Cricetulus griseus: one gene and its partners. The protein of the gene in region 1 interacts with the protein of each later gene in a pairwise test. Links are inferred from orthologs where the notes say so. Each region holds a gene or a part of one and is shown in the gene's direction. Other genes may lie near its edges. The genes, in order: Shtn1, Fabp3 and Nme7.

What was found.
Region 2: the proteins of Shtn1 (region 1) and Fabp3 interact in binary tests that used the Homo sapiens proteins (3 or more experiments, as listed by UniProt). The two-hybrid records come from large-scale screens. The link is inferred for Cricetulus griseus from reciprocal best matches to the Homo sapiens genes SHTN1 and FABP3.
Region 3: the proteins of Shtn1 (region 1) and Nme7 interact in binary tests that used the Homo sapiens proteins (3 or more experiments, as listed by UniProt). The two-hybrid records come from large-scale screens. The link is inferred for Cricetulus griseus from reciprocal best matches to the Homo sapiens genes SHTN1 and NME7.

What each region holds. Positions count from the first base shown.
Region 1 is NC_048596.1:2,328,289-2,334,467, forward strand, and holds part of Shtn1 (shootin-1), read left to right. Parts: intron 1-3,242; coding exon 3,243-3,389; intron 3,390-6,179. UniProt on the Homo sapiens protein: Involved in the generation of internal asymmetric signals required for neuronal polarization and neurite outgrowth.
Region 2 is NC_048595.1:22,743,673-22,749,951, reverse strand, and holds the start of Fabp3 (fatty acid-binding protein, heart), read left to right. Parts: upstream 1-2,149; coding exon 2,150-2,222; intron 2,223-5,403; coding exon 5,404-5,576; intron 5,577-6,279. UniProt on the Homo sapiens protein: FABPs are thought to play a role in the intracellular transport of long-chain fatty acids and their acyl-CoA esters.
Region 3 is NC_048598.1:27,996,274-28,002,452, reverse strand, and holds part of Nme7 (nucleoside diphosphate kinase 7), read left to right. Parts: intron 1-504; coding exon 505-555; intron 556-3,144; coding exon 3,145-3,352; intron 3,353-5,645; coding exon 5,646-5,751; intron 5,752-6,179. UniProt on the Homo sapiens protein: Possesses an intrinsic kinase activity. Displays 3'-5' exonuclease activity with a preference for single-stranded DNA. Does not seem to have nucleoside diphosphate kinase activity.

The sequences.
Region 1 (6,179 bases):
CTGTCACAACAAAACCAAAACTCATTATGTTTGGTGACTAAATGTTCTAGAAGAGGACACACTTAAAGAATTTTGATGAAGTTTGGGGGAGGCAGTATGACTACTCCCTCCACCCGCAAATCCCTCTGTGTGCATAGTCCCCTGTAGCCCAGACTGTTTTCAGAGTCGATGTTTAGCCAAAGATAACCTTGAATTCCCGCTCTTTCTGTCTCTGTCTTCCCGAGTCCTGGGATTGAAGGCATGTAATTACACAGGTTTTTGTGATGCTGCTGGTTGAACCCAGCCAGGGTGAGGGGAAGCTAGACAAGCACTCTACTAACTGGGCTGCTACTGTTTCAGACATGTCATGGGGGTTCTGAGAAAGAAAGTCACACGATGAAGACCTTTCAGATGAAGTGTTTATGCTTGTTTGTCTTCAAAGTGCTGCAGTTGAGGTACTTTGTACTCATGCAGTGTTGAGCACATTTTCCAGAATGTTTTCCAGAATTTCCTCTTCCTCAAGAGAAGCAAATCCCAGAGAATTCCAGAGAGAGGATGGAGTGGGCCACCCCACTTGATTTCCCTGCTCTGTGGCTATAGCTGTTGCACCAGCTCTTTGCCAGGAACACATGCAATAAAAGAAACTTGGAACTTTGCTTCAGCTGCGGTTAGCACCCTTTACAGTGACGGTGCTTGAAGCACTAAGATGCTGGCAAGGGAGCCTGTCTGGTTAAGTTTTAATAGAGGAAAAAATGTGTTGAAATTATTGTAATAATAATGATAACCAAGATAATTCATTTCAACTAAACACTGCTCAAAAATTTAAGACACCAGTGAATCATTGATTACCCCTGTTGGTTGGACTCTGAGTCTCGGGGTAGAATGACTCGGCTTATGCACATTGTGTGGGAGGGGGGTCTCTGTGCCCATAAATGCTTACAGACAGATGACACTGAAGAAGTGTGGGTTCCATGTACTACGAAAAATTATGTTTCATTCTTTCAGCTCTTCCAGAGGAGTTGAGTTCAATTCCCAGCACCCGCATCAGATGCCTCACAACTACCAGTGACTTGAGCTCCAGGGAAATCTGTCACCCTTTTAGGGCTTCAGGTACCCCCATACACACATACAGGCACACATTGAGACACACGTGTGCACATAAATAATAAGACATCTTTAAAAAATAGTGTGTTCTACCTGTTGGAGCTGATAGTGTGTCTTAATTTTGCACAACCTTGTAGTATCCTGCTTGGTAGACTTTTCACAAATCCTGCACAGGAGAAGAATGAAAGCTCGGCCAGTGTGTGTGTGTGTGTGTGTGTGTGTGTGTGTGTGTGTGTGTAGGGGGAGCACGTTTGCGTACAGCAATACGTGTTTGCAGTATCTTTCTCACTCTCCACCTTACTTTTTGAGACAGGGCCTCTCACTGAACCTGAAATTCACCGATTGGCTAGACTGACCAGCCACTGAGCTCTAGGAGCTCCCCATCTCCCATTTCTCCCTCCAGAGCCAACATTACAGATGTGTGAGGCCATGTGGCCACACCCAGCTTTTACATGTATACTTTGGACCCAAACTTGGGACCTTACGATTACACAGCTGCCACTCCCAGTCTGAGTCACATACAACCCCCCCAGCCCCAGCTCCCTGATAGCCACTTTTTTGTCCATATAGGAGGATACACTGAGAAGAAAACATGAGTTTATTTGTATTGTGTATTCATGGTGACTTCGACTGGCTGGGGCTAATTTACAGACTGTGTAGATCACTGAAGTTCCAGTCTTTGCACATGGAAGTTTGCAAGAATTTTATCTGTGGTGATGTATTATTTATGATTTATTAAAGCGCGCCTGAGGATTCAGAAAGCAAAGCCAGCCTCAAGCTATAGAGATCAGTCAGTGGTGGCACAAACCTTTAATCCCAAGACTCAGGATTAAGAGGTAGATGGGTGTCTGTTAGTTCAAGGCCACACTGAATACATAAAATCGATCCAGTCCTAAAAGACACAGCACACACAACGGTGATCAATACCTGGGATCACACGCCTTTAATTCCAGCATTGGGGGGATATAAGACAGGCGCAGGGTCTCAGAGCTGGCATTCAGTCTAAGAGTTAAGTCTCGAGCCACGTTTCGGAGAGCATAACTCTCTGAGTGAATCTGAGTCGCAGTGAAGTCGGGAGCAGTTTGAGTTTTGCTCCTTTGGCCCGAGCTGAAGCAAAGCTAGCGGCTGCTGCTTTGCTTTTCTGGTCTTCAGCTTGAAGCTTGAAGCCCGATGTCTGACTCTGGGCCTTTTATTTATCATGCTCCATTTATCTTTGTCCTGAGTTACATTTCCTAATATTTTGTGTTACACGGCAGATGAAGTTGTATGTGTGCTCTGCGGTAAACCACCTCATTGTGCACAGCTTGGAGTTAAGCTACAGTGTCAATGCAAGACGCTGTTAAGATCCTGACGGTATAAAGTGTTGCTGTTCAGAGACTTCAGAGTTTGTGAAATAGCTAATGCTTGGGATTGCCCACCAGTCATCTTGGTACGGTGAAGAGAAAGTAAATAACAGACAAATAGAAAATAATTCTGCTGTCAATCGTGTCAACATGGGAGAATTAGCCGAGTCGCATTCATAAGCAACTCGATGAAGCGTTCAATACATGCTAGTACAGTCTCCCTGCTGAACTGTCTCTCACTGGGGGAAACTCACATAGGTCTAATAAAGAGCAGAGGAGGTGAATCAATGAGTTTAAGTTCTGGTCGTGATACCTATGTACCCTTGGGAAAATCACTTGTTCTCTCTGAGCCTCCACTTCTTTGTCAGGGAAATGCAATGGCTGCAGTTTTCTATTGGATGGTGTTGTTCTTAGTACTGAAAGATATCTGCACATAGTGATGTCCACTGTATGGTATGGTGCTTAGTGACGGTTGCCAGCAGGAAGTTAGCTCATAGGATGTATGTAAGAATGAGACAAAGCATAGAAAGTGCCTGGCACGGGTGTATTATTGACATATACTTACCAATGCATTTTAAAGCCGTAAAGAAATGTTCAAAACTGAGGTGTAGAATTCAGTTAGTGTATCCCCTCTGTGCTTAGAGTGGTGATTTAGGTATTGGAAATGGTGTGAAGTTGGGAATTGCTCCCTGGCAAAGTCCTACGTCAGGCATTTCCTTTGGGGTCTTCAAGGACTGCACTCACTGCCCTTTGAGCTGCACTGGGGGTCTGCATGGGCTGGGTTGGTGCATACATGTTTGTAATTAACTTTTGCAGATGTTCATAGAACAAAACAAGCTGAAGAGACAAAGCCACCTTCTGCTGCAGAGCGCCCTTCCTGACCAGCAGCTTTTGAAAGCATTAGACGAGAACTCAAAACTCATCCAGCTGCTCGAAGGAGAGAGGATCCAGCATAAGCAAAAGGTAACTGATTTTACTCTGGAATTGTGGGCACACATATGTGCACACGTGCACACGCATACACAGATGCACAGACACGTCACACATGTGTGCATGTGTGCACATAGGCATATCACATACACACGTACACACGTCACATGCATGAATATCCATGTGCACACATACATGCATGTGCATACAGACACATCACACACGCACACACATAAGCACACACACAGACACATCATACGCACATACACACCACAGACTCACGCACATGTATAATCAGCTTACAACCATACATTAAAACAGGAGGTGCTAGTATGGCTTTCTAGAGTTCCATCTTTTTGCCTGTTGACTAAGTCCTAAATACCTTTGAGAAAACAACAGCTACCAAGGGAATTTAATGTACTGTTCAGCCACAGTTTATAGCACACTGTCATGGAGTCTTTGAAATGATCAGGAAATCGATCATTAAGAATGAGTTTGGAGAAGCAAGGGAAAGGATAGGACTCAGAGTGTATTGGGCAGTTTGTAGTCTTGAAGTCTGTTTGGAAAGATGTGGTTTTCAGAGACGGGATACACTCAGGAGAGTGTGTTGGTTTTGCAGAGCTTCTCGGGGGACATAGGGCCTTATTCTGAGAGGGAGGGAAAGAAAAACCTGTCATTAGTAATTGCTTTCTTAGGTACAGTTTGTGGTCATGCAGCCTTGCGTAGATATCTGTAGTGCTTTGTTCAGGAGTAGAACACTTCAGGCCAGTGCTGCCCAGGTCCCTCTGTAGGGCAGAAGAGAGGGAGGAGGTGGGAGAAGACTTACAGGAGCCACTTTGGAACAGTGGCTTCAGTATTTGTGGGTCCTCATGGCGACCTCGTTCATGGGAAAGGCTGTTACCGGCAACTGACTTTTCCCTGTCAGTGTCTTGTGCATGACCCTCTCTACTTCTGACTCTGTTTTACATCTAGCAGTAAGGTCAAGCTGGGTTCTGTTTCCTCAGTGGGAAGTGTTGGCAGATGCACACAGAACCCCTGCTCCCCAAGGCTACAGGTGAAAAATTTCTTTTTCTACTCCCACATTCAGGAATCACCTTTTCAGTAAGAGTGTGTGTGTGTGTGTGTGTGTGTGTGTGTGTGTGTGTGTGTGTGAGAGAGAGAGAGAGAGAGAGAGAGAGAGAGAGAGAGAGAGAGATCTGTGTATAAGTATGTGTGTGTGTGTGGTGTGGTGTGTAAGTATGTGTATGGTGTCTGTGTGTGTGTGTATGTGTAAGTATGTATGTGGTGTATGTGTGTGTAGTCTATATGTGTATGTAAGTGTGTGTGTGTGTCTCTCTGTGTGTGTGTGTGTATGTGTAAGTATGTATGTGGTGTCCCTGTGTGTGTATGTGTGTGTAGTCTATATGTGTATGTAAGTGTGTGTGTGTGTGTGTGGTGTCTCTGTATATGTAAGTATGTGTGGAATGTGTAAGTATGTGTCTGTGTGTGTGTGTGTGGTATCTCTGTATATGTAAATATGTGTGGTATGTGTAAGTATGTATGTGGTATCTATGAATGTGGTATCTGGGTATGTGGTGTCGTGTGTGTGTGTGTGTGTGTGTGTGTGTGTGTGTGTGTGTGTGTGTGTGTGTGTGTGTGTGTTTAGCTTGTGTCAAATATTATCTTTTGGTCCTGAGAAGACAAACTATAATTGTTAACTTGGTTGGTAGATAATACAAGCCTGGAGTTCACAAATTGAACTGAACTTTAGGACTGAGTTGTTTTCTGTGTTCCTGTTTGACAAAGGAGCAGAGGTCGTTGTGGGTGAAACTACAGCAATTACTGGTTCTACAGGCTTTGTCCTGCCCTAATCATTTTATTCTGTTTAGATGAAAGTTTCTGTCCTGCCTGCTCCCATAGCTGTTGAGTCCAAAATAAACACACAGAGGCTTATATTAATTATAAACTGTTTGGCAGATGGCTCAGGTTTCTTTTGGCTAGCACTCTCTTAATTGTAAACCCATTTCTATTAATCTGTGTATCTCTACATGGTCTTGGCTTACCGGTGATACCCAGGCCTGTTGCTTCCTCAGCAGCTGCATGCCTTCTCTCTGACTCCACCTACCACCTTTCTCTATCCCTGTTTGGATTTCCTGCCTGGCTAGATCCCACCAGTCCATCGGCTGAAACAGTTTTATTCATCAACCAATAAGAGAAACATATATTCACAGCATACAGAAGGATATTTCCCCATCACTCTCTACTCTGTGTGGTGTAAAGTATCTCCTACTTGAACACAAATTCCCTCATAGACTCATTACTTTTTAAAACACAGATATTTTGCTTTTGCTTTTATAAAATAATGTATGTTCCTTATAGTAAACACACATTTTTTTTTTTAAATGTAAAAGCAGTAAAAGAAAATTAAGATTACCTGAGAATCCAAGGTGTATATTTTTGGGCAGCTTGAAAGGCTATATAAATACATGGCTTTATGATGTATATATGATTTGTTTAAGTGGAGTTTCGTGATGCGTGACTTTCTTTAACATTTTCCAGTTGGTAATATATCTTCTCATCTAAGTATGTATTGAGCTATGTGGGTTGTTTATGTTGCTGTTTTTAGGGTTTTTTGTTGTTGTTGTTGTTTGTTTGTTTGTTTTTTGGTTAGATAGGGTTTCTCTGTGTAGCCCTGGCTGTCCTGGAGCTCACCATGTAGACCAGACTGGTTGCAAACTCATAGATCTGCCTGTCTTTGCCTTCTGAGTGCTTGGATTAAAGGCGTGCACCATCAACACCAGCTGAACTATATAGTTTTATATGACTGTATAGTGTTTCCTTCAT
Region 2 (6,279 bases), on another chromosome or scaffold:
CAGCTATTATCAATGGAGATCAGGACTGCTTCCTGGCAGCAGCTGTCAGCCAGCCCCAGCTGTCAGCCAGCCCAGCTCTCCAGCACAGCATTGCAGAGTGCTCTGGTCCCTGGGTCTCCAGCTTCTCAGTCCTTGAGAGAAGAGGTTCCTTCTCTAAAGCCTGTGACCTTGAATGGAAGCTATCCCATATCTCCCCCCACCCCCACCCCTTGGCACTTGCTGTAGTGCTGAGGTCACCAGGGCTCCAGGCCCAGCCCTGAGGCCTGCCCTATAGGCAGAATAGGGCCTTTCAGTCTTCTGACAACTGAATTCTCCAAAGGAATCAAGACCTGAGGGTAGGTAGGGGTGAGAGGACTCTTCCTCTTTAGCCTCTTTCCTAGAACAGCCGGGGTGGGGGTAGGGGGGGTGGGGAGGTGAGGGGGTGGGGTGGGGGAGTGGCCGGTGGAAGAGGCCTAAGAAGGAGGCTTTGTCACATTGCAGGTGTACTGGTCAGGTCCCAGGGCTCTGATAATGGCTCCTGAATGACTACCCTGGGCCCCCTTCTAAGAAGTTGAAGTTCCGTACACACCACTTTCTCCTGTATAGGGCCTTGCACACTTAGAAGTTCATTCATGCTCCTCTTCCCCTGAGTCCCGAAGTCAGGGTAGGTCCCTCCTATAGTCATGAGTTGCATGATTCTCCCAGAAGAGAATACTTTCAGCCTGTACCTTCTTCCCTGTGGTCTTTTCCAAAACAGGGCCAGCACAAATCAGGAACTTATTTTGAGACAGGATCCTGCCCTATGTAGCTCAGGCTGGCCTCCAACTCAGGATCCTCTAGCCTTCAGGTGCCTGAATAACTGTTGAATCAAGCCAGGCCAGCTGCACATGGCAGTAATCTCAGGAGACGGAGGGGAATCTTTAGTTCAAGGTCAATGTAGGCTGCACATTGAGATGTTTATTTGGTAATTATTAAACAGAAACCCGCTGAACTAAGCAATGGGCTCCACTGAGTTTCCTTTCCTCACGGGTAAAAAGGGGGTAGCACCTGCTAACAATGGAGACGTTCAGTGTGACCATGTCCCGAAGCAGCGGGCTACAATCATCACTAAAGTGGGTCTCATTTAATGAAGAGCTTTAATATGACAAGCAGGCTAGTGGAGAAATCAGGGGAAGCCCTGACGGCAGCAGAGGGCTGCAGCTTTCTGGCAGTTAAGGTGGCCACCGCCGGAAGAGCCGCCTGAATAGACAGAATTTCTGAAGGAGCTAAGCGCAGAACGACCCCAGTGCAAGCTCAGAGGTCAGAAAAGGCTGGGGCGTTCTCAGGGAGCGGTGGGGAGCAGGACCGCGGGGGCGCCGGCAGGGGACATTCCGCAGGGAGGGGCAAGCACGTGGGGGGCTAACGGAGGGACCAAGGTCACGTTCGTCCAGTGCAGGTGAGGCACTAGGCAGCCCAGCCACCGACGGTGTCCAGGGCGACTCCTCTCCACTGGGCGGGCGGGGAGCAGGCGGGCCTAGGGGCCGCGCTTGCTGTCTGGGCTCCAGTTCGCTTCTACTTATGGTGATCGCGTCGTTACCCTCTGAGCCTCCGCGCCGCTCCGACAGGAAGATGACCTAGGGCTGGTGAAATAGGTCAGCAGGTAGAAACATTCGCTGACAAGCCTGGCGACCTCAGTTCGGTGCCAGGACCCACACCGTGGAAGGAGAGCCGTGACTCCCCGAGTTACAGCGTTCCCCCTCCCTCAATGCACGCGCCTTCGTACGCCCTCACACCATAAGTGTAAAACAACAATCGGGGAAAAACAAAAGAGTGGCACGTGGTGCAGACGGCGGCGTTTCCCCAGCGTCGCACCAGCCTAAGAGCGAGTTTCCTTTCTGCGTGGCTGGGGGTGGTGGGTGCTCTTCTTGGGCTGCGGGGAGCGCCGCGCAGCCAGGGTGGGCACGGGTTCGGCGGCACCCGCAGGACCGCGGACGGCGCGGACGCAGGGGCCTGGCGGTTTGCGGGGGCGGGAAGGGCCGCAGCTCCTAGCGGGAGTGCAAGCCCCGGCTTCCTATTTCGGGAGCAAGGGGTGTGGGCCGCCCTCATCATGTGATGCGAGGGCTATTTAAAGAGGCTCTCGGGCCGGGAGCCGCGGTTCTCAGTTCCTGCACGCCTCGCCTCTCGCCACACCATGGCGGACGCCTTTGTCGGCACCTGGAAGCTAGTGGACAGCAAGAATTTTGATGACTACATGAAGTCACTCGGTGAGTGAACCGCGAGCGCGGAATCCCGGCCCTGGAGGGCCCGCGAGCCCGTCCTGGCGCTGCGTTCCCGCTGGAGTGCCCCGAGCGCCTCCTGCACGCTCCCTGCCAGTCCAGGCTGCAAAGACCCGCGCGCCGGCGTGGCGTGGGCTGCAGCATCCCGGTCTCCTGGGAGGGGGCTGTCGTGGTCCGGACCTGGGGAGTTAGGTAGCTAGGGAGAAGGCGCTCAGGGGAAGCAGGCTGTGGTTGCAGAGGTCCGGGCTGGGTGGCACCCACTTTCTAGGAAGCGAGGTATGTGATCGGAGGGGAGAGATGGGAGTTGAGGGAACGAGTGGAAGGCGGGAGGCTGGCTGCAGCAGAAAGCAAACGGGAGCATGGGTGGTCTAGAAACCGAGTCCGGAAAGGGAATAGAGCAGATGTGAATGCACTGTAGGAGGAAATACTTGAGCAAGACTGAGGAAAATCAGTGAGCTCGATCTGGGAAGAGGTGAAAACAGACCTGGGCAGTCAGCCATGCATAGTCCCTTCCCCTCCATGATGGATAGTGAAGGTGCCCTGGTTCTCCCCAGTGTGTTCACCTGCAATGTGCGCAAACCTCCCCCAATCAGTTTCTGAGACGCTGCTGGTAGAGTAGGGCAAGACCACCACCACACGCGGGCTTTCCTACCGCACCAGTCTCCCACCTGTTCAGTGCCAGGGATAGGGTGAAGAAAGCTGTTCTCTGGGATACAGCAGAGGGTGCCAGAAGCAAGGTCATGCACGGGCTGTGGAGGGGGAGTGCGGTTTGGGGATCAGGAAGAGCAAAGCTCCCTAGAACCTCACTGGTAAGATCTGTGAAAATGGAGCTCCAGGCCTTGCTTGGCTAGAAAAACAACAGCCCAGTGAGAGCAAGCTAATCATCTGATAGGAAAGCCCAGGATTTCTTTTTTCTTTTTGGTTTTTCGAGACAGGATTTCTCTGTATTGCTTTGGAGGCTGTACTGGCACTCGCTCTGGAGACCAGGCTGGCCTTGAACTCACAGAGATCCGCCTGCCTCTGCCTCCCGAGTGCTGGGGTTAAAGACTTGCGACACCAACGCCCGCCCGGCACAAGCCCAGGATTTCTTCAGGATTTCTTTTCGTCACTACTGACGACTGAACTTAGAGTCTTATGCATGCCAGGCAGGCACTGGAACACTGAGTCACACCCCCCTCCCCTTTTACTTTGTGTGACAGGGTCTCTCTAACTTACCCAGGTTGGCCTGGAACTTGTAACCTGCTATCCCAGCCTTCTCAGTAGTTGAAAACCCAGAACCACCTAGAGTTCTTCCTACTTCAGCATAGCCAGGGAGTGGGAGACCACCTTTGGGTGCATGGGGAATGTGGTATGACCCACTCCTCCAGGACTGACCCTAGCCGTTCCTTTCTTGCCTTGGTGTAGGTAAAAGCCCTTCCTGTGAAGTGTTTGGCTATATCATCCATGTCAACTAGGATGGGACCCGAAAACTGGGCTGTGTCATGGCTGAGCTAGATTTCGTTCCTTCTTCCGAGGAAGGAGGGCTGGCTTATGACATGTTGAGGGTATATATGCAGGTTCCTCACCTACTTCAGGATGTTAGCTGAAACGGGTCCACAAGGCATTTTTGTCATTTTGGTTTTGGGATTGGAACCCAAGGTCTTGCACATGCTAAGCAAACACCATGACTCTGAGCTTCCACCGAAGCCCGAACTCCCATCAGCACCTACGCTCTCTAGGACAGAAGCTGGGCTTCATTTTTGTTTTGAGACAGGGTCTCACTCTGTAGCCCTAGCCGTCCTGGAGCTCCTTATGTAGACCAGGTCCTTTTGCCTCCCCAGCACTGGGGTTAGAGGCATGCAAGTTGGCCGTTCTTGACAGGGTAGGGAGTACTAAATTGCCCAGGTTTAGTTCCACCTTCCCAAGCCAAATTGCTAACAGCTGGTTTGCTGCTGAGGCCTAACTCACTCAGATACCAGTAGGCAAAGCCTTATCGTACAGAACCAAAGCAGCCCAGCCTAGTATTTGACTGCAGGTACAGATGGTGGCTTTAAGATACTATGGGAATCTATGTCACTAAACGCTGATAATTTTTTCTTTCCTCTGGAAACAGAGTCTTACTGTAGCTCACGTTTTAGAGAGGTACAGCCCAAGGTGGCCTTTAATTCTTGGCATTTCTCCTTGCTTCGGCCTCCTGAGTGAGATTATAAGCAGGTGTCACTAGGCTCAACTTGTTTGACTTTGGATAAGACAGCACAACTCTCTTGGCCTCATTTGTAAATTGCGAGTAATAAAAGCTATGCTTAGGGCTGTTTCAAGCAGTACTTGGCTACCCATGCAGAGTTTGTGCAGTGTACATAGCAAATACACAGGGCCAGGTGAATATTTGGAGGTCCCATGCCGTATCCCTATGTTGGGCTGCCTCCTGCCTCATTGCTGAGGACAGCTCAGCATGTGCTGGGGCCAGGGGACAGGTACTCAACAATGGAAGATTCAAGGGAGCTGCAACCCACGGAGGTGAAGGCTGGGCCTACCGGGTCTGTGTACTTCACCTGCTGTGGACACCTGGGACCTTGCCTAGGACTCAGATCCCATGATTATGTCAGGAGTCTTCTCCCCAGGGACTTCAACTCAATCCCTAAGTTTGTAGGAGACAAAACTCTCCATTGTACTTTTTTTAGCCAGGAGGCCTTGAAGCTACAGCGTTGCTACACAGAGGGTGGAGCACTGATGCCCCCAGTTTCACGATGAAAAATAGACATCCTTGTCCAGAGGACTCTGAAGGCTGTTGGCTTTCTTCTTTCTTCAGTCTTTCGGTCTGAGTGTTCAGGAAGCCAGAAGCAGCAGGGGCTCTTCTCTGGAGGTGACACAGGGCTCAGCAGCTTCAATCTGATTGGTGACCCTGGCCTTAAACTCCATTGCGGTGGTTACATCTACAAACCCTTGTAGGAACAGGACTGAGCCAGGGCCATATAGGTGGTTTGTACCTCTTGGTACCTCACTCTGATTTCCAGTGTTGCTGACATGCCTCGTGTTTCACATCAGCCTAACCGCTGCAGAGCTAAGGAAAAGACTGACTGACTGAGAAAATGGCCACACAAATTCACTGGCCACTATGGTCCTCCTTCCCCATGGTTGTATAATACCTCTTTACCCCAACTAATTTTCAGCCATCTGCCCCTGCCCTTAGGTGTGGGCTTTGCTACCAGACAGGTGGCTAGCATGACCAAGCCCACCACAATCATCGAGAAGAACGGCGATACTATAGTCATAAAGACACACAGCACCTTCAAGAACACAGAGATCAGCTTCCAGCTGGGAGTGCAGTTCGATGAGGTAACAGCAGACGACAGGAAAGTCAAGGTGAGTCTGAGAAGGGGAGGGGAGGTAAGAGGCTGGCCCTTGGCTCTGTACCCCAAGGGGCAGGCTGTCATAGATTTTAGACCAACATGGTTCATGAAGCCTGCTCAGTGCTGGGATGACCTAGGGGCCAAGTACAACCTCTGGTCTGTTTTTTCCTCACCTTCCTGGGAAGGATCTGTCAGCTGCCACTGTGGCTCTGCCACAGCAGAGCCAAGATGTTCTGACCTTGTCTCCAGCCCCAGCCGGGTGACCTTGTGCACCAAGGTATGCAGTAGCTCTGAGGACTTCAGCAGCCATGGCTGTGACCTGAAGTGCTTTAGGAGTGATGCCAACAAGTCAGTGCCCTGGATTGAGGTCATCCAGGCTCTGTCAGCAAAGGAGGCAGCTGGGAACAAAAGGCTGAGCTCTATTTACAGGTTTCCTCTTCTGCAGCTCCCAGGCTTGGACACTGACCCTGTCAAACTGTTTCCAGGGCCACCAGCTGACAGCCATGCTCCAGGGCATGCATTCACCAACATGAACGTTGTGGGTGTTTGTAGTCTCCATGTATTTATTTCAGGGTATGGGAGGGAGCACCTACCTCCGGTGTCGCTCAGTTACCTCATGGTGGTTATCTTGGCAGCTTGCTAAAACCTCCCAGCACTGGTCCAGACATAGAACTTAGGGTTGCTGACATCTATATCTATAGGTTATCCCTATACCA
Region 3 (6,179 bases), on another chromosome or scaffold:
AGAGAGTGCTCTATTATAGGAGTGAGGCCCTAGGTTTATCCCCAGTGGATGACAAAAGAAAAATAAGCTGTGGCCAAAATTCTAAAGCTTAAAATTAATTCTAAGTTTTGAATTAGAAGATGTCTCCTCATTTTTAAATATAAATTGTTTAGACTTTAAATAGCAAACATTCTTATTGATCTGATATTTAATTGTATTGAGAATCCGGTGAGATGCTGATAAAATGGAAGACAGATGAAGTGTAACATTAATAAAAAAATAAAAATATCCTCCTATTTTAATGTTATATCTCAGCATCCATAGGACCCATACTTGGGATTGCTATTTGGTTGAAAAAAAACTTAACTTATATGCAGATCGTGTGTGTGTGTGTGTGTGTGTGTGTGTGTGTGTGTGTGTGTGTGTGTGTGTGTGTGTGTTTTAATTTGTACGTTGTTTTATTAACATATACTAAAGTAACTATTTTAAGAAATCTTAACTATTGTTATTTTGCTTATTTTATAGGAAAGAAGCAACAGACTTTCTTGTAGACCACCACTCAAAGCCTTTTTATAAGTAGGTGCTTACATGGGGACTAAAATTGTTTTTTCTATACTTTTGTTAGAAAGACTTCTTATATCCACCACTAAATACTTGAAACTTAATCAGAAACAAATAGATCGCTTAGTTAAATTTTAAGAAGCATCCTTTTATGTTTCATTGAATTGAAAATGTGATATATATATCTAGATATATATAGACATATATAGACATATATATAGACATATATATAGATATAGACATATAGATAGATAGATAGATAGATAGATAGATAGATAGATAGATCTATCTATATATAGTTTTTGTATTTTGAGACAGAGTTTCTCTGTGTAACTGTCATAGCTCTCCTAGAACTAGCTCTGTAGACCAGGCTGGCCTTGAACTCACAGAGATCCTCCTGCCTCTGCCTCCCAAGTGCTGGGATTAAAAGCATGCACCACCACTGCCTGGCTTATAATTATATTTTATTCTGAGAATTTTGTTGTGCTTTTAAGGTCTTTATTTTGGTATCTTGTATGTACAAAACAAGTCACAGAACTAAATAATTTGACACATATTTTGTTCTTTTGGAAATAAATGGCTAATAGCTAATAATGTTTGTTAGAAACTGAATTGATTATAAAAATTTTGGATGTAATTAAAATGAATAATGTGCATAGCTATTGACAAGCAAATATCTGTATTTCTTTTTTTAAACTTTTTTTATTAATTTGCTTTCTACATCGCAATCCCAGTTTCCCCTCCCTCCTCTCCTCCTGCTCTCCCCACCTAACCCCTCTATATTTCTAATAAAGACAAATGAAATTTATCCAATCTGCTGCAGTAGGCGTTTTATTTGATAATCTACATAGAATAAATTTTTAAAAAAAAAAAGATTTTATTATGTGTACAGTCTTGTTCCTGCATGCCAGCAAAGGGCACCAGATCTCATTCACGGTGGTTGTGAGCCATCATGTGGTTACCAGGAATTGAACTCAGGACCTCTGGAAGGGCAGTCAGAGCTCTTAACCGCTGAGCCATCTCTCCAGCCCATAGAATAACTTTATATAAAAAAAAAGAACTCTATTTCATAAAATTACTATATTATAGCTTAATCAGATATTATAAAATATTCCTAAACTTTGTTAGAATTATCATATACATTTTTTGGCAATTATTCTTTGTTTTAGGTTCTTTGTCTTTATAACCCTGAATCATAACTCCTAGCTTAATATCTTACATGCTGTTCATATGCAGAAAGTTTGAATAACTGAATGAATGAACTGGTAGTCTGACATTGGGAAGACAATCAGAGCCCAGCTGAAGTAACTGAAGTCAGCTCAGGATCCATGTCCTCGCAGTAGCCCCACCCCTCAATTGTTATATGCCACACTCATTATAAAATTCTCAGGGTTGGATCCTATTTTATGGCTATATATATATATATATTGCATGATAATTAAATGCTTATTAAGTAGGTAACTGTTCCCTCCCTTCCTCCCTCTCTCCCTTCGTACTTCCTTTCTGTATTTGGTTTTGGCTGCTAAGATGTAGCAGTATGTTTAAGAATTCTGTGTCCTCGGGGCTGGAGAGATGGCTCAGTGGTTAAGAACACTGCCTGCTCTTCCAAAGGTCCTGAGTTCAATTCCCAGCAGGTGGCTCACAACCATCTGTAATGAGATCTGGTGCCCTCTTCTGGTGTGCAGAGACATACATGGAAGCAGAATGTTGTATACATAATAAAAAAAATAAATTAAAAAAAAAGAATATCGTGTCCTCTTAACATAGTGTGTATAGATACTTCCTTCTAGTTGTTACTTCTTGGAAATGTTTTTCTAAAGTGAAAAGGGTTGATTAATGAAGGGGTGGGAAGGGAGTGTATAAAGCAGTCAGGGTCATAGCCTGTTACGCTGTCTTCCTTTCTCTGAGAAAGTCCTGTCCTTTCTCTATTTTGCCTGGCATGTCACTTATTTCAAGTGAAATTTATCATTGCTGCCTTCTGTACATGAAGAAATGGAAAAATAAAATTAAGTGTCAGTTTTCCTTCCCAGGGAGCTGGTACTAAGACATAAACTTTTAATGAAGTCCTGTGTGTATGGTTGATCATTTAGTGTATCATAACCCAGAGTAGTTTTCTCCTAATAAGAGGCTAGTGTTTGAAGGCCTGGTGCCATTCTTTTTCTTTCTCACATTGGTTTAGAGTTGTCATTCTCTGCATAGAAAATGTTACAAAATGTCATGCTCATTATTTTGTTATTGTAAAATTCTACCTACCACAGTAAACCGTATGTAAATAAGAAGGGAATCACTTTTGTCCTTAGAATAATAGGAAAAGCTTAGATCAACAATATGCACTTCAAGTTAGTGAAATGCCAGAATTCAACAAGCTTTCCCTTTGCAAACAGTAGTGAACCTGACAAAAGTTCTGTAATGATTTTGTAGCAAACTAGATCCATGTAAAGCTCCAGTCATGAGATGAGGGTTTTGCACTGCCCATATTCACTTCACTGTGCCCAGAAACTCTAGTCCCTGAAATTACTAATGTTCAACCGTATCTTCATTGTTAAGGCAGGTGTCTAGATTGACAGAGTAGAGAAGTAATTCAGACTTTTCCCTGTTTCCTAGCGAAGTGATCCAGTTTATTACAAGTGGGCCTGTTATTGCCATGGAGATTTTAAAAGATGATGCGATCTGTGAGTGGAAAAGATTGCTTGGACCCGCAAACTCTAACCTAGCTCATACAGATGCCCCCGGAAGCATCAGAGCCGTCTTTGGGACAGATAGCATAAGAAACGCGGCTCATGGCCCTGATTCTTTTGCATCTGCTGCCAGAGTAAGTTGTTTTGAGAAATATTTTTCTCCTGTTTTGTTTGGAAAATTGTTTTATGTCAGAATAAAATATTTCTCCCACTGAGGACTTTGGGAAAATTTAAAAAGCTGATGTAGTAGTGGCAAACAACTTTTGACATTTTCCTAGGATCAAGTATCGGTTCAAAGCCTCATCTCCTTTTTAAATTAGTTGTGTTGGTCACAGTGGAGTGCAGTTTTCTCCAAGTCTGCCGTTTGTTGCCACGCTTCTTTCTGTAAAGGCATAAATGCTGAGTCTCATGTTTGTGACTGAATTCAATTAGGAATCCTAGTTTACTGATATGTAGTAGATATTCCTAAAGAACCTTCATTGGAGTAGTCTGTAATTTAGATCATGCACTGTTATTAGCTAAGTAGGAGTCTAGGAGAAACACTAGAAATACATGGAACGTATGTGTGAAGATGCAAGAAGTCTCGGGACAGCAGGATGGCTTAGTGGGTAAAGGTGCTTGTATCAACACCTGGTACCCTGAGTTTGTTAACTGGGACCCCTGTGGTGGAAGGTGAGAATTCTGTAAGTTGTTCTCTGGCCTCTGGCCATGCATGTACAAATAGACAGCCAGACAGATTGATAAAAAATTTCAAAGCAAAAAAGTTTCTTTCTTTAAAAGAAAGAATGAAATCTAGGTCTTAACAACAACAACAAAATAATAGTGAGAATTATCCTGTGAGCGGCTTCAATAGAAGATTGAATTTGAGTGTTTGTAACAGCTTATTTGTAATAGCCCAAACTAGAGATATCACAAATGTCCAGTAGATGAACAAAATGAACAAGCCATGCTGTAGTCACACATGGCATATTATTGTAAAAAGGAAGGAAGGATTGATTACAGGGAGTGAATCTCAAAATATTTTTTGAGTGAAAGAAGATAGAAAAAATAATGGATGAATTTATATAAAATTATAAAGATCGGCTTATAGTGACAAAAAGCAGGTTAATAGTCAATAGTAATAGTTAATTACTATTAGTAATAAAAGTTAATTATTCTTTTATAATGTCCTGCCAACAGACTCACTGAAATATACAGTATTTGAGTAAGTTCTCCTCCTCCCTCTTGCTTCTGGTTTAAAGAAATATTTGCACATCAGAATAGAAGGGAGGCCGTTAGAGAAGAGGGCGGAGAAGATAAAAGAGTAAGGAGTTAATAAGGAACTAGAAAGCATCACAGGGTGTGTTGGACCTCTATGAAAATATCCCATGAAGCCTATTATTCTATATAATTTAATGTACACTATAGAGTATGAAAGTTCATTAGTATAGCTTTGATTTATTTTATTGTAAATTTGAGTCAGGGTCTCACCATGTAGCCATATTGACCTGGAACTCACTGTATAGGCCCGGCGGACTTGTACTAGCAGTGAGCCTCCTGCCTCTGCTTCCCAAACGGTAGACTTGCTCTTTCAATTATAAATTCAGGGAAAAGAAAATACTAACTCTGAGGCAGGTTTTGTTTTAGGTGTTTTGGAAGCTACTAAGCTCTGCAAGTTGGTTCTTTTCTTCAAATTTATAATTTGGTTGCTGACAAGTCACAGCTGTGATGAATGCATGGCGCTGATTGGGAGCGTGGAAAATCTTTCTAGAGGATAGTTAGATAGTTCTGTGCTCACTGGCAGATGTTTTGGAGCATGGAACAGAGATTTTTATGGAGAATATAGTGGAAAGAATAGTGCTGAAAGCTCAGGGACAGCATTTAAGTAACTAAAAGAATTGATTAGTATGAACATCTTTGGTTCATTCAGATTGCTAGCTAACTTCTTGATTTAATGAGCTGTAGGCAAAGCAATAGCCACTGTGTGAATCAGGCCAAAATACGTTGCTCATTTTGATTTATAATAGAACTATTGTTAATTAGCTGTGGTTCTCAGACTCCTAAACATTAATTTTTCTGTTTTTATAAGGATGTCCTTGTTTTAACTTTTTATATTTTATTTTTTAAGTTTAAAATTAATCTGTATTTATGAACTATACTTTTGGGAAAGTAAGAACTATATATTTTTCCCAGTTCTCAGAATTTGTTGAAACCTGTCAGTTATAATAGAGGTCACACAATGATGTCTTCACATTGCTACAATACTCTGCATGTTCTGATTGTTAAGTGCTGAAATGGAGCTAAGTTACTCAGTCTGCAAATTCACATTTAGAAAATCAGAAGCATAGAATTTATATCATGAAACTTTAAAAGTAATTGTATATCTTCGGAAATATTCTGGAAGTTTCAGATAAGAGATCATCTTTTCTCATCTTTCTGTATCTACAGGAAATGGAATTATTTTTTCCTTCAAGTGGAGGCTGTGGACCAGCAAACACTGCTAAATTTACCAACTGTACCTGTTGCATTGTGAAGCCCCATGCCATCAGTGAAGGTAAGTGCCATGTTGTAGATGCTTTATTAATTAGAACAGCTTATTTTGTTAATGTTTGTTTTCTTGCTGTGTTTGCATGATGAAATTAAGTACATGTTAATATTTCAGATTCTTTTCTTTGAAAGTCCATGAATCAAGGCAACATTTAAAGATAAATGTGTCTAGATTTCTGTCTTCATTTTGGAATTTGTGCATTCTTAGTAACTGCTCCTTTGGCTGTTGATCATGGCCAAACTCATCCATGTTTTGAACAGATCTTGCTTCCTTGCCGTCTAACCTTCCTTCTGTCTTTCCAACTATATAATGGGTTCCCTCTCTTCACTTAAATAGCACTCCAAGTGCATATATGAAGCGTGGTTTATAGGGCTGGAGAAATGGCTCAGTGGTTAAGTGCAATTGTTGTTCTTGCAAAGGACCAGGTTCAGTTC